3 linked regions of the Struthio camelus genome follow. The protein of the gene in region 1 purifies or fractionates together with the protein of each later gene. This does not show direct contact. Links are inferred from orthologs where the notes say so. Each region holds a gene or a part of one and is shown on either strand. Other genes may lie near its edges.

The links.
Region 2: the proteins of RACK1 (region 1) and HELZ purify together in Homo sapiens (affinity purification with mass spectrometry; 3 studies listed by BioGRID and IntAct, counting the BioPlex papers as one, with this or other methods). This does not show direct contact. The link is inferred for Struthio camelus from reciprocal best matches to the Homo sapiens genes RACK1 and HELZ.
Region 3: the proteins of RACK1 (region 1) and IGF1R purify together in Homo sapiens (affinity purification with western blotting; 4 studies listed by BioGRID, with this or other methods). This does not show direct contact. The link is inferred for Struthio camelus from reciprocal best matches to the Homo sapiens genes RACK1 and IGF1R.

Annotation. Positions count from the first base shown.
Region 1 is NC_090977.1:572,735-576,475, forward strand, and holds the start of RACK1 (small ribosomal subunit protein RACK1), read right to left. Parts: upstream 2,352-3,741; 5' UTR 40-2,351; coding exon 1-39. UniProt on the Homo sapiens protein: Scaffolding protein involved in the recruitment, assembly and/or regulation of a variety of signaling molecules. Interacts with a wide variety of proteins and plays a role in many cellular processes.
Region 2 is NC_090960.1:4,353,497-4,357,237, forward strand, and holds the start of HELZ (probable helicase with zinc finger domain), read right to left. Parts: upstream 2,844-3,741; 5' UTR 2,710-2,843; intron 1-2,709. Other genes in the region: PSMD12 (26S proteasome non-ATPase regulatory subunit 12), read right to left, coding at 3,107-3,316. UniProt on the Homo sapiens protein: May act as a helicase that plays a role in RNA metabolism in multiple tissues and organs within the developing embryo.
Region 3 is NC_090953.1:5,227,520-5,231,260, reverse strand, and holds the start of IGF1R (insulin-like growth factor 1 receptor), read right to left. Parts: upstream 2,936-3,741; 5' UTR 2,859-2,935; intron 2,163-2,858; exon of another isoform or gene 1,807-2,162; 5' UTR 1,778-1,806; coding exon 1,684-1,777; intron 1-1,683. UniProt on the Homo sapiens protein: Receptor tyrosine kinase which mediates actions of insulin-like growth factor 1 (IGF1). Binds IGF1 with high affinity and IGF2 and insulin (INS) with a lower affinity. The activated IGF1R is involved in cell growth and survival control.

The DNA.
Region 1 (3,741 bases):
GCCCTTCAGGGTGCCGCGCAGCGTCATCTGCTCCGTCATGGCGGCGGCGGCGGCGGCGGCGGGCGGATGGCGGCGGATTCGGCGCAGGCCCCGGGCCGCTCCCGCTGGCGGCGGCGGCAGGCGGCAGGCAACCCCGGCCGGAGAAAGAGCGACGCCACTTCCGGCGGAACCGGAAGTGCCCGCCGAGGCGAGGGAGGGGGGCTGTACGGCCAGCGGGCAAGATGGCCGCGCCCAGTGAGAAGGGGGAACATGGCAGCGCTCGTGAGGCGGCAGCGTACGGAAGAGCGAGCGCGGCTCCCAGGAGGCAACAGCCGAGGGGGGAGCCGGTACCGGCGCGTCCGGACCGGAACCGGGCTGGACCGACCCCGACCGGGCCTCGCGGGCTCGTCCGGACCGGAACCGGGCTGGACCGACCCCGACCGGGCCTCGCGGGCTCGTCCGGACCGGAACCGGGCTCTACGGACCCCAACGGGGCCTCGCGGGCTCATCCGGACCAGAACCGGGCTGGACCGACCCCAACGGGGCCTCGCGGGCTCGTCCGGACCGGAACCGGGCTGTATGGACCCTGACGGGGCGCTACGGGCTCGTCCGGACCGGAACCGGGCTGTACCGACCCGAAAGGGGCCTCGCGGGCTCGTCCGGACCGGAACCGGGCTGTATGGACCCTGACGGGGCGCTACGGGCTCATCCGGACCGGAACCGGGCTGTATGGACCCTGACGGGGCGCTACGGGCTCGTCCGGACCAGAACCGGGCTGGACCGACCCCGACCGGGCCTCGCGGGCTCGTCCGGACTGGAACCGGGCTGTATGGGCCCTGACGGGGCGCTACGGGCTCGTCCGGACCGGAACCGGGCTGGACCGACCCGAACGGGGCCTCGCGGGCTCGTCCGGACCGGCACCGGGCTGTATGGACCCTGACGGGGCGCTACGGGCTCGTCCGGACCGGAACCGGGCTGTATGGACCCTGACAGTGTGCTACGGGCTCGTCCGGACCGGAACCGGGCTGGACCGACCCCGACGGGGCGCTACGGGCTCGTCCGGACTGGAACCGGGCTGTATGGACCCTGACGGGGCGCTACGGGCTCGTCCGGACCAGAACCGGGCTGTATGGACCCTGACGGGGCGCTACGGGCTCGTCCGGACCGGAACCGGGCTGGACCGACCCCGACAGGGCGCTATGGGCTCGTCCGGACTGGAACCGGGCTCTACGGACCTGAACGGGGCCTCACGGGCTCATCCGGACCGGAACTGGGCTGTATGGGCCCTGACGGGGCCTCGCGGGCTCGTCCGGGCCAGAACCGGGCTGTATGGACCCTGACGGGGCCTCGCGGGCTCGTCCGGACCGGCACTGGGCTGGACCGACCCCAACGGGGCCTCGCGGGCTCGTCCAGACCGGAACCGGGCTCTACCGACCCCAACGGGGCCTCGCGAGCTCGTCCGGACCGGCACCGGGCTGTATGGACCCTGACGGGGCCTCACATGCTCGTCCGGACCGGAACTGGGCTCTACGGACCCCGACGGGGCCTCACAGGCTCGTCCGGACCGGCACCGGGCTCCACGGACCCCGACGGGGCCTCACAGGCTCGTCCGGACCGGCACCGGGCTCTATGGACCCCGATGGGGCCTCACGGGCTCGTCCGGACCGACACCGGGCTCTACGGACCCCGACGGGGCCTCGCGGGCTCGTCCAGACCAGAACCAGGCTCTACGGGTTCGTCCGGACCGACACCGGGCTCTACGGACCCCGACGGGGCCTCGCGGGCTCGTCCAGACCAGAACCAGGCTCTACGGGCTCGTCCGGACCGGCACCGGGCTCACACCGATGTCGTGGAACCAGCTCCCCCCACCTCGGTTCCCAAGAAGCAGCGTCTCCCGCACGTCCAACGACTCAATTAATTATTTAATGAAACGCCGGAACGAGGCGGTAACGGGCGGGGCCTCCAGGGAGGAACCCGCACGAAACAGTCCAACGTTAAACAATCGCCCTTTTGACGGTTTCGTTTCCCCGCTTTCGCGCCCCGGCGGTTTCCTCCCGCCTCCGCGCGAGCGGCTCTTCCCTTCGCTAAGGGCCCAGGCGTCCGGGCCCGCGCCGGGCTCCTACGCGCCCCTTTAATACGCTCAGTCAGGGGAGGGGCGCCGCCCCTCTTTAAATAACAGTAATAAATAGAAAAAAACCCAAATTAAATAAATCCCACTTAAATAAAATAAAATAAAATAAAATAAAATAAAATAAAATAAATAACCAGGGGAGGGTGCAGGCAGGAGCCACCCCGAGGGCAGCACCCAAAGGTGCCGGCTGCCACCCTACCCACTCCCCACAAGTGACAGGAGGGTCCCTGAGGTGCAGCCCCGAGGCTACGGTGATGGGCACCGTCACAAGTCCATCATCCTGGGTGCCGCCCCACGGCGGGTGCCGGGTCCTGGGTGCCGCCCCACGGCGGGTGCCCCTCAGCGGGCCGCGGGCCCTGGGCCAGCAGCGGGGGGCAGCAGGGCAGGGGAGAGCAGCGGCCGGGGGCAGGAAGGGGCACCCGTGGGTGCCCCGGTCCCCAGGGTGCCGTTAGGTGCCTGCAGCCCCGCGGATGTCCCCAAAACTGTCCTGTCCCCAGATGGGGGGGACCCAGGGGTGGCCCCGAGCGTCCTGGGTGCTGTGGCGGGTGTCACAGTGGGTGTCGTGGGGGTCTTGGCGGGCGTCGTGGGGGTCATGGCGGGTGTCGTGGGTATTACTGGTGTCCTGATGGGTGTCACTGGTGTCATGGGGGTCCCGGCGGGTGTCCTGGGGGTCCCGGCGGGTGTCCCGGGGGGCGTCCCCTCCCCGGGGGTGCTGTATACCTGGGCGCCCACCACCGCCAGCAGCAGCACCAGGAGCCTCTTGGCCGGACTCGGCTCCTCGCCGGGGGGCGTCCGTCGCACCTGGGGGGGGGGAAATCAGTCCGTCAGCAACTGCCCTGGGGGGCAAATTAACCCCCCCCGAGGGGACAAATACCCCCCCAGTGCTCCCACGTGTCCCCCATTCGCCTCCCAACCCGCCCTGGCCCTGCAGCATCATTGGGGTAATTAAAAAATCGCCTCCCCCCCCCCCATGATGGGAGCCTCGGACACCTGGGCCCACTGCGGGGGTGGGGGGGGATGAGTCAGGTGGAGAAGGAATCATGAATCACCCCCCTGCGGCAGGGGAAATCGGCAGCTTCCGGGGGCCCAGGAGTCCGGGCAGCCCTCAAAATACCCCCAGAGAGGGGGGGCCCAGGCATCCGGGGAGCCCCCCCCCAAACACCCCCAGAAGGGGGGGCCCAGGCATCCGGGGAACACCCCAACACCCCTAAGGGGGCCCAGGCGTCCAGGGAGCCCCCCCCCAAAACACCCCTAAAAGAGGGGGCCCAGGCGTCCGGGGAGCCCCCCCCCCCAAACACCCCCAGAAGGGGGGGCCCAGGCATCCGGGGAACACCCCAACACCCCTAAGGGGGCCCAGGCGTCCGGGGAGCCCCTCCCCCAAACACCCCCAAAAGAGGGGGCCCAGGCGTCTGGGGAGCCCCCCCATAACACCCCCGGGGGGAGCCCAGGCGTCCGGGGAGCCCCCCCAAAACACCCCTAAAAGAGGGGGCCCAGGCGTCTGGGGAGCCCCCCCCAAACACCCCCAGAAGGGGGGGCCCAGGCATCCGGGGAGCACCCCAACACCCCTAAGAGTGCCCAGGCGTCCAGAGAGCCCCCCCCAAAACACCCCCAGAAGGGGGCCCAGGCATCCG
Region 2 (3,741 bases), on another chromosome or scaffold:
TTACATTGATCTTTAAATTGTTCATTAAGGAGTTGTATGTGACATACATTTGCATTCTTCAGATGAACCAGCACAAAAAGCTTACTGCTTTTCTTTTTCCTAGCAACTTGAACGTAGCATCCCTTTCCAAAGAGGCTCCAGATACACTCCTTTCATTTCCATTTGGCATAATAATATAAAGTCTGCCACTAATAAAAAATCTCCAAGCTAAGAGAACAGATTCCTATTTTCTACCTCACTTGAGATTAGGGTGTACTTCTACACATTTTAAAATTTTTCTTGCAACTTTGTGACAGGTAGGGAAGAAAACCCTGAGGGATTCTTGCTTCTGGCATTGAGCGTGGGATACATGATGGGTGTATCTTACCCTGAGGAGAGCAGTATGTTGTCAAACCAAAATGAAGGTGGTGAAAGGTGAATTCAGTGAAGACAAAAACCTATTTTGGGCCAAAAGGGCAACAGCTTGTTCAATCTTGATCTTTGGTATGAATACAGAGCATGAAAATGAGCCTTCTGATCCTTCTGAATTGGGTTTTAAGGACATAACTGGACTAGCACAAGATAAGAGTGCTACTGATAGCGAATTTTTTGATCATTTGGTGTCAGCACTTCCTATTGTTCATAGTCTAGATGGTGCATCAAATCCATTCCACAACAGACCATCAGGTCCAATGGAATTATAACCAAGTCTAGTCACTAACACCTAAAAGCAGAGCTAAATTCCCTAAGTCTGTGGAAGCTGAGAACACCTTGTGCTTGTACATTTAAGTTCTGCTAAAGACTTCTGTAGGCACATGCTTACTTTTCACGAACCTTAAGCACTGTCCTGGACAGAACGGTTTTCGGAACCACAGCAGATCAGATACTTCTATTAAACACTGCAAATGTGCTTTTAAGTCCGTGATACAGGCCAGGTTTTTAAACCATTTTAATGATTTATGTGCATCCCTAGGTACCTCATTCTATGTTGCTTAAAACATATAGCAGCTGATGTGAAAGGCACCAAATTGCAAAGAGAAGTTCTTTATTTAAACCAAGATCAGGTTGGTATGACCGATACTACAGTAGACACATAACAGCACGACTGATTCTACAGTAGACACATAAGGTTGAGTAAGACACATAAGTAAGACACATTCAAGGCACATGCAAAGTAGGTGACCACCGAAAGCAGCCATGGCTGTCCCCTCACTTGCTTCCATGTCCTTTCTAGTGCTGACAGCATCAGGTAGTTGACAGAGGGGATAGAAACCACATTGTCCTAAATGCCAAAAAAGGCAGCAGGGAGGGATATAGCTGGGCCAGAGAGGGAGGAGGATCACCATGAACCCCAGAAAGTAGAGACCAGGGAACCACTGAACCATTCCTCTGTAGGGTAAGAGGAAAAGAGGGTTAGCTGGGAAAACAAGGTCCGTTATCTCTCATCTACCTGGTAGAATAGTCACACAGGTCACACACTTAGATGCTTGGGGCCGTAGAGTCCATACTCTACATTAAAACCAGATTTGCCAAAGGGAAGAGAAAGGTTCATGAGGTTCTCCTCCTCAGGGGAGGAGGAGTAGGCAAGTTCCCACTTCTGACCCCTCTTATCTCCATTTCCAGAAGATTGTATTTTGCTGCTAACAAGGTTAAAAACAAAATAAGTTGCTTTGTTCATTATCCTAGGGGCAGCCAAGCAGTTTTGCTTATGCTAAGGCTAGCCTTGTGAAAACTAGTACATCCCTACCTCAGAAATGGGCGAGCATGACAAGATTTTACACAACTCTCATACAACTGGGATTATAATGCAATTTAAGAAGTTAGAAGGTACGCATTCTATACATCCTCAACAGTCTGCTCTCCCTTCTCCCTTCCCTTGCTGATAGTTCAGCTTTCCATTTTTCTGTTACTGAAATGCAGCAAGCTAGCTTGGTATGGCTTGATAAAGATACTTTCCTCTGAAATGACATTCCCAAGCTTCCTTTAAGCTATGTCCAAAGTCTACATTTCAAATGCAAATCACTGCTTGGAACACTTGTATCTTTTCCTGTCCCATCACAAACTTCTCTCCTCAAAATCACTGTCTAAAGTTTCCTGGTTTACTGTGTATTCGTATGATAATTACCTGGGGTAAAGGTGTCAGTTGGAATCAAGTTCAGTGTGCTTTTAGAGAGACAGGACTCATGTACATCCTAATATATCATTTACAATTACACTCTATACCTAATCAACTATGAACGAAATAGTTGGCGATGGCTAGCACTAAAAATCACTAAAAAACAGAGTAAATGCATTACAAGTTTCACTGATTCTTGCAGTTACTGTACTATTCTCATGCTACTATTTTACTTACATCAAAAAACAGAGGAACGGGATGGGGGAAAATCCAAACCTTCCCTCCCTTTTGAGTAGGCTAAAGGAAATAACAGGATGTATCTTGTCTGAATACAATACACACAAACATGAGAAGCAGCAGATTTGAAGTACTTAGTTAGTTGCATAATTGCTATTGTAGCCATTACAAACTGGAATGACAAAACAGTTAAAACTAGTGACCTGCACCAAGCAGAAAAGATTCAGGAAGATATCTCAGCCAGCTCTGATTCAATAAAATAAAGTCTACGCATCATCCTCAAGCACAAGTAGTATTATTCCCAGACACAAACATTCAGAATTTTGTTTAAACAGCATCTTGGACATAACATTAAAATAAATATAATCATAAGTTACCTCAATGCAAGCTACTGTAAAACCCTAGGCTCGTATTTTATTTACAGTATATCCTTTCAATCACAGCCTCAAAAAATAGTCCTGTAATGAAATAACCACAGAATTATTTGTTAGACAGATGAAGGTATACATGGGAAAAGAAAAAAATCACAAGACTATTCTATTACACAGGCAATACAGTTTTATTATGTTCTTTCACCAATGTAGCAAAAACGTTTAACAACCGAATGAATAATCAAGGAAACTTAATTGTCAACGGGAATTTAAGAATTATGTTCTAAATTTTAGACCAGGAAGGCTTGACAGGGAGAAAACAAACCATATACACACTGTAATAATAGTCTCTATTACGAAGATTTAATGCCTTCTTTAAAAGCACTGAGATTATTGAGGCACATTACTGCAGGTTATGTATCATCTCCTCTTTGGCAATGAGATGTGTGGTTTTGTTAACTAGGGCCATCAGTGAGTTGAGCTTGTGAGACCAGTCATTGAGTATATTGTTTGGGTCCTTAGGCCTCTGAAAATTGATAATTCCTGCCAGCCTGTCTACTTTAGCAAAGATGGTCTTATTAACTACTAGGTTGGACAGGAACTCCTCCGATTCCTGCAAAGACAAACAGCACTAAGTCAAGATAATAGCATTTTCAGCTACCAAAGCATCAAAACGCCTCCCAAACAGCATTACACCACAGCAAACAAGGTTTTATTTATACTTAATAGAAATAGACTAGTAGTAATACTGTATTTACAAAAACTACATGATACTGTAATAATACCTGTGGCATTTCAAGCTACTAGTACCATCTATTCAAAAACATTTTCTTTCATTTGAACTACATCTCATTACCTTTTATGAAATTATAATTTGAATACACTACACCAATAGACTCTTAACACTTTTCAGTGCTTGGCTACACAGATGTCAGAATGCCTTCCAACAAACACACAAAGTGACAAATATTTGATTAACGTACTGTTACTCCCAAGACTTTACACTACTACTTCTCAAAAAAAGAACCCAATGAACTA
Region 3 (3,741 bases), on another chromosome or scaffold:
GAGGCGACGGGTGGCCGCTATCACTGCCGCGAGGCAGCGGCCGCAGCTCTTTCTCACCGGTGCATAAAGGCCAACCTCCCGCCGGAAAACCGGGAGGGCAGGAGGGAGGGAGGGCAACGCTTTCAAACGTGCTCAAGGAGCGGATTCAGTAACCGGCGGAAAAACACACACATCGCCACAGGCGGGCTGCGACGCGCCAGCCACCGCCGCGCCGACACCCTCACACACACACACACCCCGGGAGCCCCTCGCGACACCCTCACACACAAACACACACACACCCAGGGAGCCCCTCGCCGACACCCTCACACACAAACACACACACACCCCGGGAGCCCCTCGCCGACACCCTCACACACAAACACACACACACCCCGGGAGCCCCTCGCGACACCCTCACAAACACACACACACCCCGGGAGCCCCTCGCCGACACCCTCACACACAAACACACACACACCCCGGGAGCCCCTCGCGACACCCTCACACACAAACACACACACACCCCGGGAGCCCCTCGCGACACCCTCACAAACACACACACACCCCGGGAGCCCCTCGCCGACACCCTCACACACACACACACCCTCCCAGAGAGCCCCTCGCCGACACCCTCACACACACACACCCCCGGGAGCCCCTCGCCGACACCCTCACACACCCCCGGGAGCCCCTCGCCGACACCCTCACACACAAACACACACACACACACACACACACCGGGAGCTCCTCCCCGACCCTCAGACACAAACACACACACCCCGAGGGAGCCCCTCGCGACACCCTCACACACACACACACACACCCCGAGGGAGCCCCTCGCGACACCCTCACACACACACACCCCGAGGGAGCCCCTCGCGACACCCTCACACACACACACCCCGAGGGAGCCCCTCGCGACACCCTCACACACACACACTCACCGGGAACTCCTCCCCGACCCTCACTCACACACACACACACCCTGAGGGAGCCCCTCGCGACACCCTCACACACACACACACACCCCGAGGGAGCCCCTCGCGACACCCTCACACACAAACACACACACCCCGAGGGAGCCCCTCGCCGACACCCTCACACACACACACACACCCCGAGGGAGCCCCTCGCCGACACCCTCACACACACACACACCGGGAGCCCCTCGCCGACACCCTCACAAGCACACACGCACCCCGGGAGCCCCTCGCGACACCCTCACACGCACACACGCACCCCGGGAGCCCCTCGCGACACCCTCACACACAAACACACACCCCGGGAGCCCCTCGCCGACACCCTCACACACACACCGGGAGCCCCTCGCCGACACCCTCACACACACACACACCCCAGGAGCCCCTCGCGACACCCTCACACACAAACACACCCTCCCCGGGAGCCCCTCGCGACACCCTCACACACAAACACACAACCCGGGAGCCCCTCGCCGACACCCCCACACACACACACCCCGGGAGCCCCTCGCCGACACCCTCACACACACACACCCCGGGAGCCCCTCGCCGACACCCTCACACACACACACCCCCTCCCAGAGAGCCCCTCGCCGACACCCTCACACACACACACACCCCGAGAGCCCCTCGCCGACCCCCCTCAGGCACACCGTCACACACAAACACCCCCCAGGGAGCCCCTGCCGACACCCCCCGCGCCGCCACGCACAATACTCACTTTCTCCATTTGTTGGCCACAGACAAAGTGTGGCGAAGAAGAGCAGAAACCCCCAGAAGAAGGCGAGGGACCCTCCTCCGGCGCCAGACTTCATTCCTCTTTTTTTAATTGGACAAAATCCCCCTTTCAGAAAAAAAAATAAAAAAGTAAAAATAAAAAAGTCCAAAATTGTCCTTTTTTTTTTTCCCTCCCCCTCCCCGTTCTCTAAAAAATACGAACGAGGGAGAAGGGGGATGAGAAAGGGGGCAGGATAAATAAATCCACGTTGCCTCAAGAAATTAGTAGTAATAATAATTAATTTAAAAAAAAAAACACGACGACGACCCTTCGGCTTGCAAAAAGCCGAAGGGGTTTCGAGGTCCTTGGGTGTTGATCTTCCGGAGGAACCACACCAAAATAAAAATATATATATATGTGTGTGTGTGTGTGTGTGTTGCGGAGCTCTAGCAGCAGCCCCGGGCGGCGGGCATGGGGCGGCCGGGCGAGGCCGAGCTCCGAGCTCCGAGCGAGCTGCGCGCTGCGGGCTGCGCGGGCGCTGCGCGGGCGCTGCCGCCGCCGCCGCCGCCTGCCCTCAGCGCTGGCTGCAGCGGCGCGTCGTGCACAGCAGTCGCAAACGTGAGGCACCTCGGCGCTGGCAGTCTGCATCCTCCACCTCCATTTTCCAAGCCGGCACACGCGGAGGCCGTACGCGCGCGCGCGCGCACACCCCTCACACCACAAAAACAACCCAAAAAATAATAATAATAATAAAAAAAAAAAAAACAAGGAAAAGCGGCGGGGGTGGTGGTGGGGGGAGCGCGCAGGGAAGGCTTATTACAAAACAACAACAGCGCTTCCCGCGACGGCAGGTCAGCGCCCTCCGCGCAGCGGCGAAGGGATCCCCCCCTCGGCGAGGCAGGGGGAAAAAAGGGGGGAAGGGAAAAAAAAAAAGGAAAAAAACAAAAAAAAAACCCAGCCACACCACCGCCACAAGTCCGGCTGGCCGCAGAGAGAGCCGAAATGCGGAATTCGGAGCAAAAAATGAATCGAAGAGGTTTCCCCCTGCTCCTCCTCCTCTTCCTCTCCTCGGCGCCGCTGCCACAGGCTCCTTCTCCCCCCACCACGCACCAAAAAAAAAAAAAAAATTAAAAAAAAAATTAAAAAGGAAGAAAAATCCGGGACACACACACACGCACACACAAAGCAGCAGCAGGGCGAGCCGCGCCGCGCCGCTCAGCGCGCCGCCTCCTCCTCCTCCTCCTCCCGCCGGCGCTCTCCCCCTCGCATCCCTCCGAGCCGCCGTGCCATCGCGCCGGGGGCGGGCGGAGAGGAGGGGGGGGGGGCCGCCGCCGCCGACGACAACAACAACAAAAACCACCCAGCGAATTTGTAAATCCTTTTTTTTTTTTTTTTTTTTTTGGCCTCCTCTTTCTCCCTCCTCCTCTGGCTGCGCGCGCTGCAAAACCTTCCCCCGCGCTGTGCCCAGCCCCGACGGCGGCGGGCGGGCCGAGGCGCGGGCGCGAGCCGGGGGCTGGCTGGGGGGGAGGCGACCCGCTCCGCTCCCCTCCGCGCCGCTCCGCTGAAGGTCAAAGCCCACGAGCGCGCGGCGAAGGGTCCGTAATTCCTGCCGGGCGGCCGCAGGCGCCGCTGCTCCTCCCAATTAATTCGCCGCTCGCCCGCGGCAGGGTTTGCACCGCGCTGCTGCCGCCGCCTCCCCCCTTCTTCCTCCTCCTCCTCCTCCTCCTCGCTGTGCACGGCGGAGAGCTGACGCTGGTAAACAACAGCCTCAGCGCCGCGCCCGCCGCCGCCGCCTCTGCCTCTCCGCGGCCGCACGGGGACGGGGCGCGCGCGCGCCCTCCTCCTCCTCCTCCCGCGCGCGCGCCCTCCCGGAGGCGCGCGCGCGCGCCCTCCCGCGCCGGCTCCCCTCGCCCAGGCGGCGGCGGCGGCGGCGGGGCGCGAAGCAAAAGCCGGAGCGCCGGAGCGGCGGCGGCGCGCGGAGCGGGCGCGGCTGTGCCTCCTCCCTCCCCCCCCTCCTCCTCCTCCCGCGCGGGGCTGGGGGCGAGGGGCCGCGCTCCGCTC